Linked DNA regions of Medicago truncatula. The main gene of each other region encodes a partner of the protein of the gene in region 2 in a complex. Links are inferred from orthologs where the notes say so. Each region holds a gene or a part of one and is shown on either strand. Other genes may lie near its edges.

Region 1 (7,169 bases), on a different chromosome or scaffold from region 2:
AATGAAAAATTGCGTCTCGGTCAAAATTTTGATCCGTTATTGATCCGTTATATTTACAGTAAATAAAACATGTATGCATCTATTATAATTACAGTTTTGAAACAGCATATCTGCGCAATGATTCAGAACTTGTTGAACAACTTTGTCAGGTATGTGTTAATTTACCATATATGCTTGCAAGGTAGAAGTACAGATTTGTGTTAACAAAGAAACTATACCATGGTAGAGTTAACATGTGCTCCCATCTTGGTTTTGCTACTGGTGAACTTGAGGAGTGGAACCAAAGCAAAGGGAAGCTCAAATGATAGGATCATCTTATCAGCAAACAAAGAAGGGCTTTAGCATAAATCAGTTCTGTTCTAAACAAAAATGAATGCATACACCAAAACAGGAGCAACAAAAATGATGTTGCATTGACAGATATTTTTGTTAGAGAATAAATCTATGCTTATGTAACTTCATTTTGGTTCTCAGCCCATAAAACAGCATATCTTCATACGAAGCTAAACAGTGCAGTTATGAACAGTGGCGGCCACAGGGCAGTTGAGTTGCAAATATACGAGAAACTTCCATGATATCATAACATGAAAATTTAAACAATGTATTGTTTATAACATGTACATATTCTCAAGTGAAAAGCATTAGAAGATATTTTAGGACTAAAACAACTCGATTAAAATTGATGGCAAGGATATTTTACAGATGCAATTATTACCAGCTTCCAACCCCAGTAGAGCCACCAATGACCGCAACAATCAAACTAGGAACTATCGCTAAGCAAGGAGTTAACATATTCCGAATCCAAGGCATCAGTCGTAAATCAAGAAATCCCTAAAAAAAGGAAATGATTCATAGGGGGGAAAATAGAAACATCATGAGGTAATAGTTGCTTCAAAGTGGTCACTATGCAAGTGAACCTTAGCAAAATTAAGAAAAACTGCTGAACTCAAAGCTCATTAAGGACACGTGTTGCTACTATTAAATTTTATAAAGAATATGACAGATTGACAGGTATCGTATGTTGAACATAAAAATACCCAACACAATGGTTCATGATAGCATTCATAATTTAATTTGAGGAATTAATGCATTATAATTGAGGCTCCATACCTTATTTTAAAATAAAGATCACAAATCCTGACTTTAAGTTAAAATCAATTCAAATCAATGTCACTCAATCATGTCAAAACCAATTATATATGATTAGAATCACCTTTCACTCTCCCTAACATGAAAACAAACAGATACTAAAGCAAACAAACAAGTCTAGAATATAAAATTTATATCCCAATTTGAAACCAGAACTAACTACAATCTATATCCCAATTTATATCTTATTAAAAGCACACAGAAATAATTACAAGGTTAGTACCTAATACCAGTAGCACAACATGAAGAAACTCTGATAAGAACTGATTTTACACAAATTGGTTGACTCAAAATAATGCTTATTAGAAAATCATATTCCAATCACATCAAGGGGTGTCCAACAAATAACAGCTAAGCATAACCATGCAAGCCTCAAGCCTCAGATAAGCACCAGAGGACTTCAGTCGTGCGACGTTCATTTGTTTATCATCTCATTGCCAATAGATTAGCACTAGCACAAGCAGAGGACTTCAGTCATGTGAGGTTTCCATCAATGTACTTGACTGAAAATAGGGGACAATAACACTCTTCTTCACTGTACTTGAGGACCTCAAATATGGTTGAACATAGAAGTATGAAGTTAAGTACTGATATTAGTTAGCACATCAAGTAGATAACTCCGAGCTGGTTGTAATAGTTAGTTTATTACCTAGCGATTAGCATTAACCAACCTCAACCCACCATTTTTATCTTCACAATGCTTCATGTGATGAAAAAGGGAAGTAAAATCAGTTGTTAGGTTGGCCCTGCAATCATACTTGGGAGGGTAATGGAAACAAGGCTCCATGGACTTGGCTCGTTGACAAGGTGGATTTGGGATGGTTTCCCCATATGCCCTGTGCAGAATCCATGGCTTCAAACCTCCAAGACTATGAGCAACATACCCAAAAGTAGACTTGGGGCTTGTAATCAATGCATCACATAAACTCAGTAGATATATTTCAGTCCATGCTTTAATATTGTGTGTGTCATTATTTGATTTTTGACGCCCTTCGTGACTTGGCTGATAAACTTTTATTACCTCCCCGGTTACAGTTGTATTTGCCTTATATATAGTCTTCAGCTGCTCACCATATTCGGAATATAGAGAAGCCACTAGAACAGCTTTTGGTGTCTGCTTCTTCAAAAAAGATTTTGCTGTCTTCTGCACGTTCAATTCGGGCAACAACTTATGCTGAAGACTGCAAGCTATAATTTCATTGACGATGGTGCGATGTGGTACTTGGTGAGGGTTATACACTCTAATCTGCAATCCAATTTTCTCATTTGCCTTGGCTAAGTGTGTCTCATAGAACCTGCTAATTAGTTCCCATGCCTCATTGGAAGGGTGAAAAAGGTAACGTCCCAAATGGTGAAAAACAGTGTCTTTCTCGGGAAACAATTTGCTTAGTTCTTGGCTAAATGAAGGAATTATAAAAAGAGAAGGGACAAAATATTGATCCGACCGCAAAATTAGAACAGGAACTTTCTGGAGAAGAGCTTGACTCTGATCACAGTGAAAATAGTTGTTATGACCGTCATGGGTGTGCTGTAAATTAAGAATGAGAAATTGTGGCAAAAGCTCCTTTGATCTGTTTTTCTTGCTATTCATTAGCATGCTTTCATAGGTTTCAATATGTTTCTGATCTTTCCAATAAGGAAAGTTCCTGGGCAATAACCACGAGGAATCAGGAAAAGGCTCACAAAAGAGACCAAACATGTCAGCGCCAAATTTGACAAGTAGAACCCGGTCCGTAAGAATAGCATAAAGAAACGCTGCCGCCAAGGTTATCATCCTGTTCCCCAATCCATTGGAAGCTGTCCATACAAGGTATTTGCACTTTGTATCGGCATCACCTTTGCTAAATTTTGGACCCTTTGTCATGATTTTGCTGTATGGTTTGGTATTTGGTCCACAACTTCTATGAAGATGTTCATAGTTTCGTAGCTTGGATAACAGATATGCAGAAGGTTTATAAGGGGAAGCTTTGCGGTATAAGTGAGATTTAAATCTACTTAAGCATGATGCTTCATCAAATGTGGAAACTAGTAGTCCATCAAGAAATCGGTCATTAGCAGAAGCTAGAGAATGATGCTTCTTTTGGTGTTCAAGTGAATCATATTTTGGACCTGTAGTGTGGAAATAAAATATGCATCATACACAATTCTATATGAAATTGAAGTCCACAATTCTACACGAAAGTGAATGAAACCATCTTAGTGTTCATTTTACCAACATAAGCAATAGAAGGTTGCTAAGTATGATAAATGTAAAATAATTTTGAAATTAACAGAAAGAACAAAGAATAATTCTATAAATGTGGAGTAATTTTGTCTAACCTTTATTACCAATATCTGAGATTTTATGTGTCTGAGGAGGTTGTTGAGATTGAAAGATCCGAGCAGGCATAAGATTTTGATATTTGTCTCCCAACACCTTATCTAACAACACAAATTAGACACATAAAAATGTTAGAAACATAAATAGCATTGAGGTAAAGACACTGATACGGACACAGAGACACTGACACCAATAATAATAGAATGTAATAAATAACATGTGTTATGTAGATGCTTGAGAGATTGACAAGAAGAAGAAGAAGAAGAAGAAGAATAGGTGATTCAAAAGTAACAATGGTCTTACCTACCGATGAGTTAGTAACAACATTTTGAGGTGTTTGTTTGAAGACAGTAACAGTAACAGTAGTAGCATTGATGTTGGAAAATCCATCAACAAAATTGAAGATTGAGTTGTTTTGGTGAATGAGAATGAATATGAGTGATGATATAGAGAAGGTTATGAAACCCAGAATCAATAATGAACTGAATCTCTTTAACATCTTGAACCGAAAAGATTCCCAGGAAACAAATCTCTCTTAGTTTTAACTGTATCAACATCTCTCTCTCTCTCTCTGTGACCAATTATTATTATTATTATTATTAATTACCAAATTTACCCATTTGTACATTACCATAATACCCCTAAAAATAATTAGGAAAACCCTATTAGGTCTTGTCTTCATTCATTCATTCAGCAGCACCCAAAACAAAAGCTATGAAGCTCATCGACATCAATGGAACCACTATTTCTCTTTCACTCTACACTGATGTCACCAATTCAAAGTTAGTCTTTCTCTTCATCTCTCTTTTTACCAATTGTGGGCGCCGTTTTAACGACTTGTATCTTCTTGATGTTTTGAAGCTTTTTTGCACTTCTGGTGCAATTAGCAGTTTAATGAATATGCTGTAAATTCTACAGTAATGTCACCTTTAAATTAATATTAAAGTAAAGGAATTTTTACCAACTTGTTAGAATTACTTCATATCTGAATCGAGTTTTCATGAAACTGCTAGCCACTCTTTGGGATGGATCATATTGATTGCTTGAAGCTCTTAAGCATGTGTATTTGTTATGAACAGCTTTTGAGTTGTTCATAAATGGACTAAGAGAATAAAAACTATAACTAACTACTCTGAACATTAACTTCATTCTTTTTTCTTTTTTTGCCCATTAGTATTATTTGCATGTGCAAATGTGGTTATATTATTCGTAATTGTATGTACAAATCTTTCTGTACCTTTACACATTGGAATTGAAATCTTCCTTTCTTTTTCTTCTATTGTACAATTCAATTTGAAACCAAAAAATCATACACCTCCTTCAGTTCCAATTGAAGCCTAATAACTAGAGGAACGTATAGTGCTTGATGCTTCCTCAGTTCCAATTTCCATTCCATCATGTTGATCTATGAAGTCAATCATCTGATTAGTAGCTTCCTCAGTCCCCAGGCGGTTATGTCCGGATAAAATTTCTTTTACGACCAAAATAATCTTGGGAAGATTCTCATGATAACTTCCAAATAGGTGTTCATCTGACCTTTGTACCAATTTAGAAAACAGCCCATGTGCATATCTAGCTTCCTTGAAATCATGCTTCAGTGGCAAGAAGTATAACCATCTTTTAACCCCCGTAGGGCCGGTACTGTCACGGTGAAATTCACAGATTCTTCCAAGAGCTGCAACTGCGGTATCACATAATGTTTTTACATTTCCATCTACATATAGTTCACTAGTTGAAAGTCTTTTACTGATGACCTTACTAGATGTAAGATACCCGCACTAACAGAAGCTTTAAATTGATCTCCTCCAAACATAGCACAGATACCAATCGCCCATGTAGCATGCAGCTGGGCACAAGGATAATTTTTCTCTAAAACAAGACAGGAGATAAAAATATATCTGTTATGATACCAAAAACATGGCAACATTTGACATGAGGTCATTAACAGGTAGCATGAGTTGGTCTTCAAATTTTTGAATCGCTGTTGCTGTTAAGTTGACTACTTCCTCAATTGTTTCTTACACTGACAAAGATCTAAATACATCCTCCGAGGTCCCCGCCTCTTGTGCTTTCTCTATTTCAAATTTAATAATCCTTCTTATTGTATCGTTTATCTCGTCATTAACAATCTTGATCAATTGATCAGTGAAAAATGAACTAGAGGTCTGAATGCATCTGCCAAGTAACCTCAATACTAATGTAGACAAATCCCTATCAATTTCCGTCTTCAGCACTTGAGTCAGAGCTTGCACAATGATGAAAGTTGTATCTCTTTTAGTGTCATTACTTTTGTCACTTGCTATAACTAAAATAGAAGCCTTGCGAATTTCAGAACTAGAACAACCAAGCAAACATATAAACATTGGAGTGACCTTGGCAATGTGGGGGAAAACGTATAAACATTGTATTACAAGCCTGGGCTCTCATAGTTTCAACCAAACGCTTGTCCTCGTTGCTTAGGCTATCATCCTTGGACTCCTCGCCCGTTAAGTTAAGAAGGGGCTGAGCACATGCAATCAACATTGGCATAATTTTATCTATAAATTTGTCAACACTCACTTTTGGGCATTGACAGATTTGATCCAAAGCCTTTAAAATGATACATTTTGTTAAGTATTCTGTATTGCTCAATTTTCCATCAAGTGATATTAGAGATTCCACCACCTGAACAGCTTCCCGCTCTTTGAAATCATCTGGCCCAACTTTCCTAACAAGATAAACCATGCATTCTTGACATTTGGCACAGATCAACAATTTGGGTAAACTATACTTATTGGACAAAATAGCTTTCAATGCTTCCATTGTTGTATCGTAATGAATCGGATATTTTGTCAAAGCCACAATTTTTTACCAAGCAACGAAGGGCAATAAGAGCATATTTGATGGCAATAAGCCACCTGAACTAGTTCTCCAAGAACTTGAGATATTGAGAACGCAGTAATAGTTCCTTACATTCACTCAAACACAATTTTTGAATTTTTAAACTTTTATTGTGTTGTTTTTGCTGTGAATTGAAGAATTTAGCTCTTTTATTTTATTTTATATAACAAATCTCGTGTTTTTTATGGATGTACCCCGTACCTTAATATTTTTAAAATTGTCGTATTCTCGTATATGTAACTATGCAACATAGGATAACTATCAACGAGGTCATGTTCTGTACGTAGTTATGTTTGGATCAAAGTTACAACACTTTTTCACTTCTTTGTTATGGCACTATGGTAAGTGGTTATCAGGGTGCATGCTTGTTTTTTAGTGGCCATCAAATATTGCTATTCAGTATTACAAGGGATCGCTTAATCTCAAAATTCAGTTTAACCGTAATTAGAGTTTAATTTGTTTCTTTTTACCAGTGTCGTCATAACTATTCACAATATTTGGTCCTGGTTGTCCTTTTACAACAATTCATTTGCAATCAATTGCATTTCGTATGTCGATTCCTCCTAATCAAGTAGGCGATTGCAAATAAAATTCTATTTATCATCACATAAAACAATCTGTAAAAGTAGATATACATAATACATTATGAAAATACTGTTATTGATCCATGATATTAGGAACCAGCTCTTAGCGGAAGTATATTATGTAACTATGTTTCTTGCAGGGAACTATTGGAAAGTATGCAAGCTGGGACATTGGAGCCAGAAGTTGCATTCCTCAATGCTTCACTTGTATAATTTCTTATGTTTGTGCTTTATGT
Region 2 (7,825 bases):
TGACAGGTTGTCGCAGTGCTCTCAATCAGGTTCACCGTGAACAGACTTAACTGAGATATAGATTCAAGCCTTGAAACAGCAATACTAGAGCAATTTTTAAAATTTGTTCACCTTCGAAATCTACTATTTACAGATTGATGGTTTAACCAATAACCAGTATAGTAACAAGCATAACCTTTGAACCATTGACGTATAGATATAAAAATAAGCTCTCAGAAAAGTTCAGTTTTTGTTACACACAAAAGTCGGACATGAAAATCAAAGTTCAAATGTTGTGATTTTTAATTTGTAAGAGATGTGCATATAAGAAATACATATAAATTATGTTGATAACATTCATTGGTTGTCACCTCTTTTTACTACAGTAACGAAATGAAACTCAGAATCATCCAACCATGGTCCTCTTTCGTCCTCTCTGTCGCACTACAAGTTGTGAAAATGTACAGAGGTAAGTACTATTACAGAAAATGTCTCAATACTAAAAAATATTAGATGGAAGACAATACCGTCTGCAAGCTTGTTCATTGTGGATGACCACTGTTTCGATGATTTGCGGTAAGCAGCAAGTATCTGATCCATCTATCCAGAGAAATTTCAATAATCAATATCAGTACAGAAACTATATTATAGCAGAACAAGTCTTCCAATCTTTCTTAAATAACAGAGTACTTACTCTGCTTTGTATTATCTATTGTTAAAAATATTTCGTCTTGTTATATATCTGCCTTGCATTATCTATTGTTAAAAATATTTCGTCTTGTTATATATACAGGTAAATAAGGGTGATATTGAAAATGGTTAATAATACCTTCTTGATATATCCCATGGTATTGATATTTAAAATCATCAGCTTTAGTACAAATAGATAATTTATAATTATGCTTTGTCCTAAAGTTCTTTATCAAAATTTCAAATCAACCTCAAGTGCACAAACTATAAAATTCTAATAGTATAAAAAAGGAAAATAAATAAAAGCTTTATCCTCTTAATGATTTTTGGGTCGAAGAAAGTCACAAGCATGACAGATAGCCTCTACACAAAAGTTGAGGGAAGGAAAGTGTAAGACCTCGAACTTGGAGAACTAAAATATACTTGCACTTCAATTTAAATTTCCATAACAGACAAATAAGACCCTGTTTTTATATCCTTAGGACTATTGGGAAAATGAGAAGTTGGCTTACCACATTACCACATGAAGAATGCATCGAAACAAGGGCTCTTTCTAAAACATACAAATCGACGGCTTTATCTTCTGGTAGAGTTGAAGTGAAGCTTAAACCAAAGTCAATAAGAACCTACACAAAATACACATCACAGCAGCAACAAAAGTTAATGATATTTCTCATATTGTACTAAGTAAATGTAATAAATATTAATTCCAGGACCTAAGAGACGAATGAACTCACCAACTGATCAGTATCATTCTTTAGTAACATGTTTGATGTTGTTAAATCGCCATGAACAAGACCACCATCATGTAACTTCGCAATTACATCACCAATTTGGGATGCAATCTTTCCCAAGCGCTCTTCATTGACACCACATGATCCGAATTCGAGAAATACATCTTTGACTGAAGGTCCTTCAACAAATTCAAATGTTAAAGTGTGTGATACAGGATCCACAGCATACAGCACAGGAGTACAAACACCGAGTCGCCTTGCTTTTGTTGTGCACCTCGCCTCCTACTCCAGCAATCAATTGGCGGAACAAAGTATTGAAAACATCCAATGAGACATAACTTATCTACTGAATAAGTACTTATGAGACTGTTTCAAAGAGTTTATGGAAACAGCTCATGACATATCTATAACTTGTTTTCAGCTTATTTCCATAAACAAGGCAGCATAGTTTATGAAAACAACTTCTGGCTTATAGAAAAGAAGTCTGACTTTATTTTATTTTTGTTACATAAAGAGGCTATACATGAGCACTTATACGATATATGTTCAATTAAGCAGTTTATCCAAACACGACCTAACTTCATCAGAAATAAAAATGAAACTGTTATCTAAATCTGAGCGTACCGCATTTAAGCGCTTGAGTGTCAACTTAGCATCCAAAGTCGGATGTCTGTACTTCTTTGAGAATCTCTCCTTGACAACAGACCTTCTTCCCACAAAAGAAGTCTCAAAAACCCTCTACAACAACAACAAAACAATATAAAAAACCATAAGCTATAACAAATCCAATTTCCTTCAAAGTCACAAAACCAGTATTGTCAATCAACTAGCGGCTTGTTCAAATTTCCCTATGCAACAATGTCACAGTGCCGCAATTTGACAACATTTTGTACTAAATAGTATATCACAAAATAATAGAAACTTGTTCAATTCAAATTCTGTATATGCTGCTATAGCAGCTACCTAACAACATTGCTACAATGAAAGATTGAAACTTTAAACATAGCCCATGAATTAATTTTCAATTAACAAGATGGGTGCATAAAAAAAACAAGAAAAAATTGATTTTTTTATATAATGGGTATGTGCTAAATTAATTCTGAAAATCCAATGAGTGTGAATTAAACTTACAGCTTCAGCTCCTTGCTTGATGAGAATGAGAGAGCTATCTGATGACTCAGTTTCAGTCCCCATAATATGAAATTCCTTTAATTTAACCCTTCAATGTAAAATATAAGAATTTTGTATTAATTGAAGTTGAACAAGTTTGGGTTTCACACAGAACATTTAACAAACAGCTTATATGCACATTAAAAAGTAGAAAATGTGAAAGTAGTTTCTTTTGTATTCGACGAAATTGAAGTAAAATAGGAAAACAGTTGAAATACATAAAAAAGGGAAAACATGACGGACAATCTTACCGTTTATGGCGGCGGACGACGATGTGCAGTTCGTGTTGCAGAAAAGAAAACACAGAAAGCTTTTTAAGTTTGACAAAACAGTGACTCCTTCAATTCAATTACAAATTTCTCAAAATTTCGACCATTTTTAAGTTTTTTATTTAATTTAATCTATTGGTCAATAAATGGAAAGATGAATCTTTAAAAAAAAAAGGAAGATGAGAAACTTTTGGCGACTAAAATTCGAAGAAAAAAAAATTGATACAAAAAATTATATATAAAAAAATTGTTAGGCTAAAACAAAAAGTTATATATTTATATGAAGTGAAAAGATATTTAAATTTTTATTTATTTATCTAGTGTTATATTAATATTTAAATATATTTTTGGTCCTTATAAATATATCAACTTTTTGTTTTAGTCCCTCTAAAATTTTCCTTCAACTTTAAGTTCTTCAAAAAAATTTCATCTTCACTTTTAGTCTCTCATTTAAAGTAAACTTACATGTAGAATTTATATTTTTGAATGAAATTTTGCAGAAAAATTCATAATATTATAAGAATTTCTCCCAAAAAAATTTAGAATTTATTACCAAAACATGAATTTAATATGAATTTTTATATTTTTGATGGTTAAAAATTCATATTAAAAAGTTCTAATTTTTTTTGGGAAATATTTTTACAATAATCTACACATTTCAGTACAATTCCATTAAAAAAAAAAATACTAAAATTAACTTAAAAACAGTGACCAAAAGTAGTGATTGAAAATTTTATAGAGACTAAAAGTTGAAGGAAAATTTTAGAGGGACTAAAACGAAAAGTTGATATATTTATAGGAACCAAAAATATATTTAACCCTATTTTTTATGCTAACTATTAATCAGAGGCAACAAGTATGTCATTCTCTCATATTGATTGATTGATGCTCCATAAATTGAAAGGACTTGTTAACCGGTGTCCTCGTAGCACAAGTAGCACTTGGTGACAAGGATTTAAATAAAAAGAAGATATTTTATAAAAAAAGTTAAATACTTCGAATTCTAATATATTGATTACACATATTCTAATAAAAAGTTACCATTTAAGGGTCGAGTACCCATGAGTATTCGTTAACATTTCCCTAAGTTGAATTGTCATCATTCCCTTCGATAATTAGATAGGAGAGGAGGCAAGGACTTTCGGAAGAGGGGATGAGAGGAAAATATAGAGAAACCTTACACCTTGTTTAAAAAAGCATTTTTGTAGAGAAAGATAAATAAATATCTATTTATGTTAATATATTTTTAATTATGAGAGTGTTGTAACATCTTATATTGGAATTAAACTATTTAAACTCTCACTACCAACAAAAAAAACTATTTAAACTCTCAAAAACCTCCTCCAACACATATTTTGAAAAATTTTTCTATTACCAAGAAATGTAAACTCTTCCAACGCCCTTAAATTTTCCATCTTTTTTCCCAAAATCCTCTCCTCTCCTCGTAAACTCCCTACTCCCAAGCAGACTCTTAAGTTTATCCTCGGATCGGTTGTGCTAGAGTTGATGTATGAACAACTGTGGAGATATTCTCACCTTGTTCAAATTTCCAAGTCTATAATATTTATGATAATTTTTTCATTTTTATTAAATAAACCCCAAAAGTGCAATTATTGATTTACATCAGGGTTTATATAGGACCTCCAAGTATGGAGTCAGAATTGGAACAAGTTCTTTATCCATTAGTATTGCATTTGCTTCACATCTTTGACATTGTGTAGTCCATCACATCTACTAGGAAATCTACAATTATGAAGTAAATAGTCTAAATTAGCAAATAAAAATAACAATAGCAAAATAGAGTATTAGGAATCAAAAGAAAATGGTGATGATGATTATGACAATCAACCTGCATCTTCCTTATTGAAGCAAAGTGGGGGTGTGATCCTTAAAACATTTCCATAGAAGCCACCTTTCCCAACTAGCACTCCCATATCTGAAATATAATGACACCTTAATATTAGCTAAGAAAATTGTGTCACACATTTTTGATAGTTTGTACCAGATACACAAATCATGTATGCTCATTTGTGTGCCATTTAAGGATCATTGCAATTACTAGATGAATTTGTTTTTATTGTTTAAAAAATATATTTTGAACCAAATAGAAGCTATGCAGCACCGACGCTTCAGATTGAAGACGCATCTAGTGTATGACACATGTTAGTGTATGACACGAGGGAAACACATGTGGCTACATTTGGTTATTTTATTTTCTCAAATTATTAGTAGTCTCAACGTGTCAGGAAGTATCTGTGTCGTGTCTATGTCAGTGATTCTTAGGATAGAAGCAATAGAAATAGACCTTTCATCTGTTCGAGGATCTGCATATTTTCATCTTTCACAGGAGTTTTCAGCTTCCTATCTTTCACAAGTTCAACTCCAAGCAACATTCCCCTTCCCCTTACATCACCAATTACTGCCATAAGAAAACATGTTAGCAATAGTATTCATAATCCAAATTTCTTTACTCATGATGCAACATACTGTAGATGGAAAGGAAAAAAAAAAAAAAAAAAGAAGAAGCTTACTCTCATGCTTTTCCATTAGTGAATTAAGGCGGTCCTTTAAATATGATCCAACAACATATGCATTTTGCTGAAGTTTATCCTTCTCAATTACATTCAGAACAGCTAATCCAGCTGCAGCACAAACAGGATTTCCTCCAAATGTGCTAAAATAGTACGCATATTTCAGGACTTTTGCAATCTCAGGAGTTGTTACAACTGCACCAATAGGTGCGCCATTACCAATTCCCTGAGATGACGATGAATAATATTTCACAAAATACAGAAAGATGTAATGAATTAACCAAGATTAGCAGGGCATGAGGTGTAATGAACAATTGGCAATTGTTATGTTCTCCGAACAGTGTCACTAGAATTTCAAATTATCTACGAAGTACTAGCACAAACACGACATTGATACTGACATGTACACACCGGTAATATTTTTAGAAAATGAAAGTAATTGAATGTACATGTGTCGGTGTCGGACTATGACACGTGCCAACACCAAACATGCCAACAATATGAAATGTCGGTGTTACATATCATATTATTATTCAAGTTAGTTCAATTGTTCAAAAAAGCTAGTGTTATGCAGTACTGACACTGTAATTGAAGGATGGCTTGATAGTTGTTCACCAAATAAAACTGCAGGATTAAATATGTAGTACTGAAATTACATGTAATATACACAGTGTTATACATTAAGTAGTGGAAATTTCGATATATTAAGCCACAGAAAATGTCCATTTGGAATCTTAGCGAAGACAGATTCGAGATTTCCTTGATCCTTATATGAAATTAGAGATTGTGTATACTCACAAGCAGCATTTAGACATGAAATGCTGATTATCATGGTACATGCCTTGTATAGTTTGTGTTCACAGAATCTAAAAGGTTGTACTCTTAATGATTCACATGAGTGTCGTGCCTGATTGCATATATGTGCCAAGTCGTTGCTATAAGTTTCATTGGTTTCTCTGACAAATGGTGTCGAAAACTCACCAATGCTGCTTACTACTAAAGAAGCGTTGTTACCTTTGCCAATGTTACAATATCAGGGACAATTCCATGTGCCTCAAAGCCCCAAAAGTGACTACCAGTTCGACCAAAACCTGACTGAACCTCATCGGCTATAAAGACACCTCCTGCCTTTTTGATGATGCTATAAACTGCAGGCAAGTAACCTGGAGCCAATTCTATCACTCCACCCACTCCCTGTGTCAAGCACGAACCGTTCACTAAATAATATGAACCCCTTTACAAAATTATGAGAGTGAGAAAGTACCATTATGTTTATTTCTATGTTACACTAAAAGATCTTTTACACTATCAAACAACCAGAATTGTAGGATCATCAAAAACGTTTTCCTTTAACGATAACTAGTGTAGAACTTTTACACTAACCGCATATCAAAATTAAACTCAATTATTAAACGACATATATCAGTATTACCTGAATGGCCTCAGCAACAAAGCCAGCTACATGACCACAAGTTCCATGATTAATTATATCTTGAACATCATTTGCATATTTCGCTCCATCCAAACCAAAAACTCCTCTGTATGGATCTGGGTTAAGGACATGGTGAACTCCAGTCTACTGTCATAGAAATAATAACAAGGATAAAAATTGATGCAATTAGTAGTTATTTTTGTTTTTGAAAACTTTTTTTGGCGAGAATTAAAATTACAAAGGCATCATTATGAATTACCGACATCTCAGCAAAACAACAATGCAGTCGTTTTTGTGAACTTAATTGATGCTATAGAAGATTTAAACAAGAATTGTTTCACACAAAATATACCATTATTATAAAAGAAAAAGTGTCACCTGTACAACATTAAACTTGTGATAAAACTGCGCAGTGACACCCATAGTTGAGGTTGCATTGCCATGGTAACCATTTCTAATGGAAATGATATCATGGCAGCCAGTGTACAGTCTTGCCATCATCAAAGCTAACTCATTGGCTTCTGTCCCAGAATTTGTGAAGAAAACAACCTTAAAAAAATGAATTATTTTCGTCAATATAGTAAATAATCCAGCTGTGGCAAAATAGAATGAGCAAATCAACATTTTAGACATTGTAATTGTAAGAATCTGTCAATTTAGTGAATTAAATTGAACAATGTTGGTCAATTTAGTTCTTTTTTCCAAATTTACCACTATAATTCGAAACATTTTATACTTATCTTGATGCAAAAAGAGACTATTCAAATCAACATGTAAGTTTTTTTCATTGGTTTTGATGGATGTGTACTAAATAGATATGTTGATTGAGTGACTGAATGGATTGATCTTTCATCGTAACTCTTAGGTTGCGAGGAGAAGATAGTCTTGCTAATCTGGTCACCAGATTCCGGACCTGGCAAGGATTGTTCCAACCAGAATTCGAACTCAGGTTCGCTCTGACAATTCGTGAAAACTAAAGTTTATTGGTTTCAATCACTTGGTTATTGATCGATCTTTTTT
Region 3 (7,861 bases), on a different chromosome or scaffold from region 2:
GTTGGTCAAATATTTTCTGACCAAACTAAGAATTGTTAACTATAATCCTAGCTAAAGAGGAGCATTTGTATTAGCTTCTCCTCTAATATGATTACAGACAAATGTGGAATGACCATAACACCCTTTATTCATCTTCATTCCACCTCCTCTTCATCTTCTTCATACCAAAGTTAAAAAAATTCAGAGAAAATTCCAAAAAACTAAAAAAAAAAAATCATATCAATTTCTTCTACATCAACGCTTTCGTTTCTACACTATCACGATAACTCATAGTTTTTCACAAACTTCAATCTAGATTCAAATTTTTGAAATTTGATTAAGTAATGACCTAATCCTAATCTAAATTCACTCACAATTTTTTGTTTGAATCGTAATAAAAAAAAACAATGAAGAAAAACTTTGAGCTTTGAAAAAGAAAAATAACAAATCCAAATGCTCCGAGTGGATTTCTAAAGAGCATTTGAAGAAGAACATTTTTTGATTTATGGATTTTGAGTCGATTTATGGATTTCTTCTTCACTCAGAGCAATAATTCTAGATTTATTTTTATTACGATCCAAATCCAATTCCAAAGCAGTGAAGAAGAACATTGTGAGTGGATTTGAATCGTAACCAAATGCTCTAAGTGTGTTCTTCTTCTTCACTGCTTCGTAATCAATGTTCACTAATTTTGATTTTTGAAATTCTTTTAGATCTAAACATTTTTAATAATAATTTTTTTATTATTTGAGCTTGTTATGGAATTATGTTTCCAGAATGAGATTATAAAACTGAATTCTGATGATCAAACAGAGAGAGAGGGAGATACATATCAAATTAAACAGGGAGAGATGGAGAGAGAGAGAGAGAGAGAGATGCGGACGAAACATAGTGAGAGAGAGAGAGAGAGAGAGATAGAGAAAACATATGGCACGAGACAGAGGAAGAAGATGAAGGCTACTGTCTCGTTGAGGAGAAATGAATTGAGGGTATTATGGTAATTTCACTTGAGTTTGATAGAGCCAGGGGATTTTTCGTCCGTTCACCTAAGGGCGGGACAAAAATATAATATTCGGCCCAAACTGGCCGAATCGTATGAGCCGAAGGATTTTGGGTCAGGTCGAACGGTTGATGCGAGTTAAGCGGTACAAATGAAATGGTTTGGTGTGCGTTGTTCATGTTGATGTTGATCATGCTCCGCAAACACATAGTTACCAATGTTATTGCTATTGCCTGCATTTTCTTCTTCAATTGCTATTGATTCCTCATAAGTGACCATGACCTTTTCTCCGATCTGCATTCTCTTGATTATATTCCAGATGCAAGGATTCATAATCAGGGACTTTCTCATCATTGGGTTTTCTGTTTAGGGATAAATTTTGGATTAGGTTTTCTGGGTGCAACCTTCTCCACAATCTTCAGTTGATCATTCGATTTGCCATGGATTTTACTGCATTTATCAATCGAATGACCAATACATCAACAATGTTTACAAAATTATGGTATATTTTCATAATCAATATCAACAAAGAAAACACACAACATTTTCTCTCAGCTAAAATATGTAATGCAACTCATTAAAAAATTAATATCTACTAGTAAGCATGTAAAATATCCCATGGTGCAATGTTCAACGACTTCATCCAAGGATAAAGACATACGTAATGCATATGTATGTATGTATATATTAAAAAATATGATTTATTTTAGATATTTCTTAAAATGAATGTTAACACAACCAATTTTGATTATATTTTTAAAAATTATTAATTAAATAATTTATATGGTCTCATTGAACAACTCGTGCGTACTCTTTAAAAATAGGTTCTAAAAAGATTTTACTAAATAAAAAAGTATTTTAAATAATATTTGCTATTTGCTAGTAGTTTTTAACAGATTAATAATTACATTAGATATATGAATATTGGAACTTCCATAAAAAATTTAAAATGGAAGAGACCATTAAATGTTTATATATTTTTTAAAATTATATTTGCTTTAATTAATTAAAATTTATGTGATGGTGTTTTTGAAAAGACAATTGTCTCTTAATATTGCCAATGGCCACCTCTAAATTAAAGACCAATAGATTACCTAAACCAATAATTAAAAAAAATAAAACAAATTACCACCTCTTTATTATTCATTAACCAAGCCTTCTATATAAACAGTTGATGGTTTGTAAAATTGTAGTATTCAAAAACTCCAATTCAAATTAAAAGAAGGAGAAAAAAGAGAAATATGGGTTTCACTGAGAGACAAGAGGCTTTGGTTAGTAGCTCATGGGAAACCTTCAATCAAAACCTTCCTTTCTATAGTGTTTTGTTCTACACCTTGTAAGTTTGACCTCGGTATATGTATTCATTTTGTGTGACTATATATATATTTGTTGTCTATTATGTTTAGCAAGTGATGGTTTAAACATGAGTATCTCTAATTGATTTTATTAAAATAGTATATTGGATAAAGCACCTGCAGCAAAAGGCATGTTTTCTTTTCTAAAGGACTCGAATGAGGTACCTCAAGATAACCCTAGTGTTAATGCTCACGCTGAGAAGGTTTTTGGAATGGTGAGTACAGCTGACGCTCACAAGTTTTTTACGTTTTTCATTTTCATCATGCTAATTTTTTATATTTTGATTTTCTAACCAAATTATTGAATTTGCCTCACCTTTACATAACAATCATAACAGTTTTTGCACTTTCATATTATACAAGGAAACACAAATGAAATTTGTCAAGAGAGAAAATACATTTTAGACCATAAAATACAAAATCATGGTCATTAATCCAAAAAAACAAAGTATACTTTAACCTACTAATACATCATATGCCTACAACTTCTCAAACAATGGTTATGATTAAGAAAGAAGTGTCGTCAACAAATCACTTTTTAATATTAATGTTGAATTCATGCTTTGTTGTATATGAATATAAAAACAACAAAAGATTGTTATACTATTCAAATAGAAAGACATACAACTTAAATTATAAAATACATATAGAATGATGTGAAAATTTAAGGAAGAAAAATTATTAACAACAATTGTGGTATTACCTAAAACATTGTTTGCTCTTCTTTTGATCTATCATATTGAAATCTCTAAACCCTTGTTAATACTCATAATGTAAATACCAAAATCAATACTATATTCGAATAATATTTTATTTTCAATATTTAAAAACAATGTAATATAAATATTTAATGATGAATTTCCCTAATAAAATATTTGATGGCGAATGTCTATTTTTCTAGATAAAATACAATTTGACATGGTTCAAAGTTCAAACAATTGTATCCAATTACATTATTTCAACTTTTTTATTGTTGACATTTTTTCTTATTATAACTATCATTTCATAATATATATTTACTTTTAGGTGCGTGATGCTGCCGTTCAACTCCAAGCAAAAGGAGAAGTTGTATTGGGAGATTCCACATTGGGGATTGTTCACACCCAAAAGGGGGTTGTTGGTCCTCATTTTACGGTATGAATATCATAAAAAATGCTTTCTTAAATTTAAATGTCTGAGAATGTCTTGTTTGGTAACACATCAATATATAATAAATTTAAATAATTAACGTAAAACATATGAAGTTCAATTTCAATATGTTTTTGTGTGACATATTACATTTTCATTGATAAAAATATGTATAACTTCATATATTATAGGTCATGTTCATAAACATAAGAGTGTAGAAAATTAAAGATATTTTTGTTTTATAGGTTGTGAAAGAAGCATTGCTCAAAACAATCAAAGAAGTTGTTGGTGATAAATGGAGTGAGGAGTTGAGTGTTGCTTGGGAAACTGCTTATGACGAATTGGCAGTCGCAATCATAAAGGAAATGAGCTGATTATTAGATCTATTACAAACTATCAATAAATAAATATATATTTTCCTAAAACTTTAAAAAAGTTTTTATAATAAATATTCAAAAGAGAATTAGTTAAGAATTTTCAGGTATAATTTCAGTATATTTGTATAATAAGTTGTCTTCAATTTTTGGAAGACTAATGTATTCGAATTTTAACATATGGTATATGAAAAAAAAATCACAATAAGCTGTGTATTTAAAAATATTAAGCATATTGGCAAAAAAGTATGATCACCCAACCCAATTTTAAATGGAGTCACTTTAACTCGACCTAAAATTTCATAAACCATAAACATCATAGTGATAGAGCATATCAACAACAACTCAACCACCAACAATATAAACATTTTACTGAACCGCACGATAATAATCATACTCTATCATTTACTTGTCTCACATTATATTCTTGTTGAAGAAAATTTTTCAAAAGGTTCGAGAAGATGTGAACCTCTAAAATTATGAAATTGCCTTTAATAACATATTATGTAGATAATTACGGATGTTCATTTTAAAAAATTCATTTTGTACATCCGGTAGATAACCACCAAAGGTTCGTTTTAAAATTTTTCATTTTGTATATCCGGTAGATAACTACCACCTTTTAAAAATTTCCATTTTATACATCTAATAGATAACTATCGGATGTTTATTTTAGGCTTAAGTGCAGTTTTGCCCCCCGTATTTTGATTAAATCGGAATTTTACCCCCTATTTTAAAACTCGGAATTTTACCCCCCCCCCCAATTTAATGTTTTTCGGAATTGGATAATGCTAACCATTGCCCTTGAGACATTGAATAAGGGGATAAAAATAGAAATATAGTATTGAAAAATGGTGAAAAGTGATAAATTTAACTTTTTAAAAATCAAAATATTGTTGAAACCAAAGCAAACAAACATGCTACTTTTGACTTCCTTAAATATTGTAAACAACTCATGCGACAATTATAATTTACAAAAAAAAAAACTAAATATTTACACGGAAATCATTCAAATATCATTTCTCTAAAATGAAATCTTCAAACAAAACAAAACCCTCCCATCCCAAAACTTGAGGAAAACAAACGACACTATCAGTTTCATTTCAGTTGTTGTCGCCGTTCCCCCTCTAACCAACCGCCGCCGCCCCCAGCCACTGCGCCGTGCTTCAACCACATCCGTACACGTTCCGCCGACGCTCTCCGACGATACCTTGAGGTTTAGGTCGACTTAAGGTTTAGTTCCCTTTTCTCTCATCTTCTACTTCCTTTCCTCTTTCTTTCTTCGATGGCTGTTGATTCCGCTTTCACTGATTCCAAACCCAATTTCAAAATTAGTTGTGGAAGTGATGATAGTTATTATTACCAAATAACTCTAAAGCGGAATCAAAAAGCCATTGAATTCAACTACCTTTTTTATTTGTTTCTGGTTCATGGTGTTTCACTCTCATGTTTTGTATGGTTTTGTTATTTGTTCTTGATAGTGAAAATGATAGCAATAGGGTTTGAAGGTTCAGCAAACAAAATAGGTGTTGGTGTAGTAACCCTAGATGGAACAATTCTTTCAAATCCACGTCACACATATATAACACCACCAGGTCAAGGTTTTCTACCTAGAGAAACAGCACAACATCATCTTCAACACATTCTTCCACTTGTCAAATCAGCTTTAGAAACAGCACAGATCACTCCACAAGACATTGACTGCATTTGTTACACAAAGGGTCCTGGCATGGGAGCTCCGTTACAAGTTTCTGCTATTGTTGTTCGCGTGCTTTCGTTGCTTTGGAAGAAGCCGATTGTTGGTGTGAATCATTGTGTGGCTCATATTGAAATGGGTAGGGTTGTAACTGGTGCTGATGATCCTGTTGTTTTGTATGTTAGTGGTGGGAATACTCAGGTTATTGCTTATAGTGAGGGAAGATATCGGATTTTTGGGGAGACTATTGATATTGCTGTTGGGAATTGTTTGGATCGGTTTGCTAGGGTTTTGACACTTTCCAATGATCCTAGTCCTGGTTATAACATTGAGCAGGTGATTTTTCTAATTATCTATTTTACAATGTTTATGATTGCTGTATGATATTTGGATCGTTTTTTTTTTGTTGTAATTTTGCATGAGTTGGGTTGTAACTTGGGAGCATGATCTATTTCGTCTTACCTTGGAAAAAGAAATTGAATGTAATGTAATTACCATCTTTTCTTTGGGATTTCTGATATCAGAGTTGATGTATCTTCTGATTCTGTTATGTAGTGTACAGATTATACACGGATTAATTAGATGTTCCTCTTCAAGCTCTGACCCAGCAATTTCTTTTTAGTCATTTTCGGGACTTTTATTTCAGAAATGTTTTCTATTTTTGCTTTTCATCACTCATGACAAAATAGCCACTAGTGTTCACTTTGTTTATTGTTTTTAAAGTCTTATTTTGCACTGAAAAAGTCATAGTAAAAGTAGTTGTTCTTCAGTTGTCTATCCATACAAATATTTGAAAACGAGAAGTAAAATGAAAATGAAGTGGTAGTTTTGTAATTGAAATTATGAACACGAGGACCGAAAAGGTTCTCTCAAACCAAACAGGCCCCAATTTTTTTTACCCTGTTTATTTACCGTTAAAAAAAATGAAAAAAAAAACACTGAATGTATAGTCTCGCCATTTTTTACCATGCTTAGCTGACTAATGTTATAATGAGTTATTTTGTAGTAATTAATGGTTGTAACTTTGGAGTATGATGTGTTTGGTCTTGCCTTGAAATAAAGAAATTGAATGTAATTACCATCTTTAGCTTGGGATTTCTGATACCAGAGTCGATGCTTCTTTTGATTCTGTTATGCAGTGTACAAATTAGACAGCGATTAATTAGATCTCCCTCTTCCTTTCCAAGCTCAAAACCAGCATTTTCTTAGTTTTATCCATTTTGGAATTTCCGAAAATGTTATCTATTTTTTGCTTTTAATGACCAAATTACCACTAGTTTTCTCTTGTTTCGTATCTTCGAAGACATATTGTTCAACGGAAATGTGAAAACAAAAACTGTTGCTCTTCAGCTGTCTAGCTGTCTATCTGAACAAACATTTAAAAAACGGGAAATAAAATGAAAATAAAGTGACCGTTTTGTAGTTAAAAATTAAAAACATGTAGACAGAAATGGTTCTCTCTCAAACCAAACAGGACCCGTGTTTTTTGCATGTTTATTTTCTGTTCAAAATGATAATAAACCAAAAAAAAAAAACTAAATGTATAGTTTCGTCATGTTTTATCATGCTTAACTGACTAATGCTGTCATGAGTTGATCTGTCTCAAGTTGCCTTATATGGTTTTCTTATCCTTCAGCTTGCGAAAAAAGGAGAGAAATTTATAGACCTTCCTTATGTTGTCAAAGGGATGGATGTATCTTTTAGTGGAATATTGAGCTATATTGAAGCAACTGCTAATGAACAGCTAAAGAATAATGAGTGCACACCTGCAGACTTATGCTACTCTCTGCAGGTAAATTTTATTTGTGTTGATCCCTTTTCCTCCTGGTATCTTGTACAGTTGTGTTCATTAAATAAATGAAAATTTGTGAGTTGATAGTTCCTATAATGCTGTAGGAGACACTGTTTGCCATGCTGGTGGAGATAACTGAGCGAGCCATGGCTCATTGTGACACAAAAGATGTTCTTATTGTTGGGGGTGTAGGTTGCAATGAACGCTTGCAAGAAATGATGAGAACAATGTGCTCAGAACGTGGTGGAAGGTTGTTTGCCACTGATGATAGGTACTGCATTGATAATGGTGCAATGATAGCTTATACCGGTCTCCTTGAATTTGCCCATGGTGCGTCGACTGCACTGGAGGATTCTACATTCACCCAGCGGTTCCGAACAGATGAAGTCAAAGCAATCTGGAGAGAAGCAAATTTGGCAAAATCAAATAGTCTGGCAGACAAAACCGTTTGATTTTCAATCTTGAGGTGCGCTAGTTTCCTTGTGCACACAATTATAGTCAATTTCAGTTAGCTATATAAATAGTCTGTTTTAATTA

What was found.
Region 1: the proteins of EKC/KEOPS complex subunit TP53RK (region 2) and EKC/KEOPS complex subunit Tprkb are in contact, whole or in part, in a cryo-EM structure (PDB 8K20), measured with the Arabidopsis thaliana proteins. The link is inferred for Medicago truncatula from reciprocal best matches to the Arabidopsis thaliana genes AT5G26110 and AT4G34412. Residues at the interface, in NP_001331017.1 of Arabidopsis thaliana: Thr27, Phe28, Ala29, Arg31, Asn58, Ala61, Arg62, Thr65, Arg68, Lys69, Leu70, Gly71, Val72, Cys73, Val76, Leu77, Tyr78, Ala79, Val80, Asp81, Thr82, Leu83, Leu84, Gln151; in NP_680763.2 of Arabidopsis thaliana: Asp7, Phe51, Leu54, Ala55, Gln58, Ile62, Arg66, Lys147, Thr149, Gln151, Glu152, Ile155, Ser156, Asp160, Val163, Cys164, Ala167, Ala168, Asp170, Ala171, Leu172.
Region 3: the proteins of EKC/KEOPS complex subunit TP53RK (region 2) and probable tRNA N6-adenosine threonylcarbamoyltransferase are in contact, whole or in part, in a cryo-EM structure (PDB 8K20), measured with the Arabidopsis thaliana proteins. The link is inferred for Medicago truncatula from reciprocal best matches to the Arabidopsis thaliana genes AT5G26110 and AT4G22720. Residues at the interface, in NP_001331017.1 of Arabidopsis thaliana: Ala19, Glu20, Lys41, Lys42, Tyr43, His45, Ile47, Leu48, Arg56, Gly158, Leu159, Val161, Asp168, Arg178, Arg218, Gly219, Lys221; in NP_194003.1 of Arabidopsis thaliana: Glu147, Arg149, Arg151, Phe194, Lys202, Gly203, Tyr235, Glu239, Ala243, Val246, Glu247, Glu250, Arg251, Ala254, Arg272, Met280, Glu283, Arg284, Arg329.

Annotation. Positions count from the first base shown.
Region 1 is NC_053049.1:46,416,684-46,423,852, reverse strand, and holds the start of EKC/KEOPS complex subunit Tprkb, read left to right. Parts: upstream 1-4,102; 5' UTR 4,103-4,183; coding exon 4,184-4,251; intron 4,252-7,073; coding exon 7,074-7,140; intron 7,141-7,169. Other genes in the region: probable fucosyltransferase 8, read right to left, coding at 1,799-3,258, 3,469-3,570, 3,773-3,968.
Region 2 is NC_053044.1:30,319,012-30,326,836, forward strand, and holds EKC/KEOPS complex subunit TP53RK, read right to left. Parts: upstream 3,044-7,825; 5' UTR 2,825-3,043; intron 2,623-2,824; 5' UTR 2,598-2,622; coding exon 2,535-2,597; intron 2,142-2,534; coding exon 2,028-2,141; intron 1,686-2,027; coding exon 1,407-1,685; intron 1,296-1,406; coding exon 1,182-1,295; intron 580-1,181; coding exon 507-579; intron 424-506; coding exon 386-423; 3' UTR 163-385; downstream 1-162. Other genes in the region: alanine--glyoxylate aminotransferase 2 homolog 2, mitochondrial, read right to left, coding at 4,542-4,585, 4,692-4,778, 5,148-5,261, 5,374-5,599, 6,388-6,567, 6,806-6,949, 7,184-7,354.
Region 3 is NC_053042.1:44,678,622-44,686,482, reverse strand, and holds the start of probable tRNA N6-adenosine threonylcarbamoyltransferase, read left to right. Parts: upstream 1-4,861; 5' UTR 4,862-5,069; intron 5,070-5,317; 5' UTR 5,318-5,322; coding exon 5,323-5,868; intron 5,869-7,168; coding exon 7,169-7,324; intron 7,325-7,428; coding exon 7,429-7,776; 3' UTR 7,777-7,790; intron 7,791-7,861. Other genes in the region: leghemoglobin 29, read left to right, coding at 2,221-2,315, 2,435-2,549, 3,361-3,468, 3,708-3,836.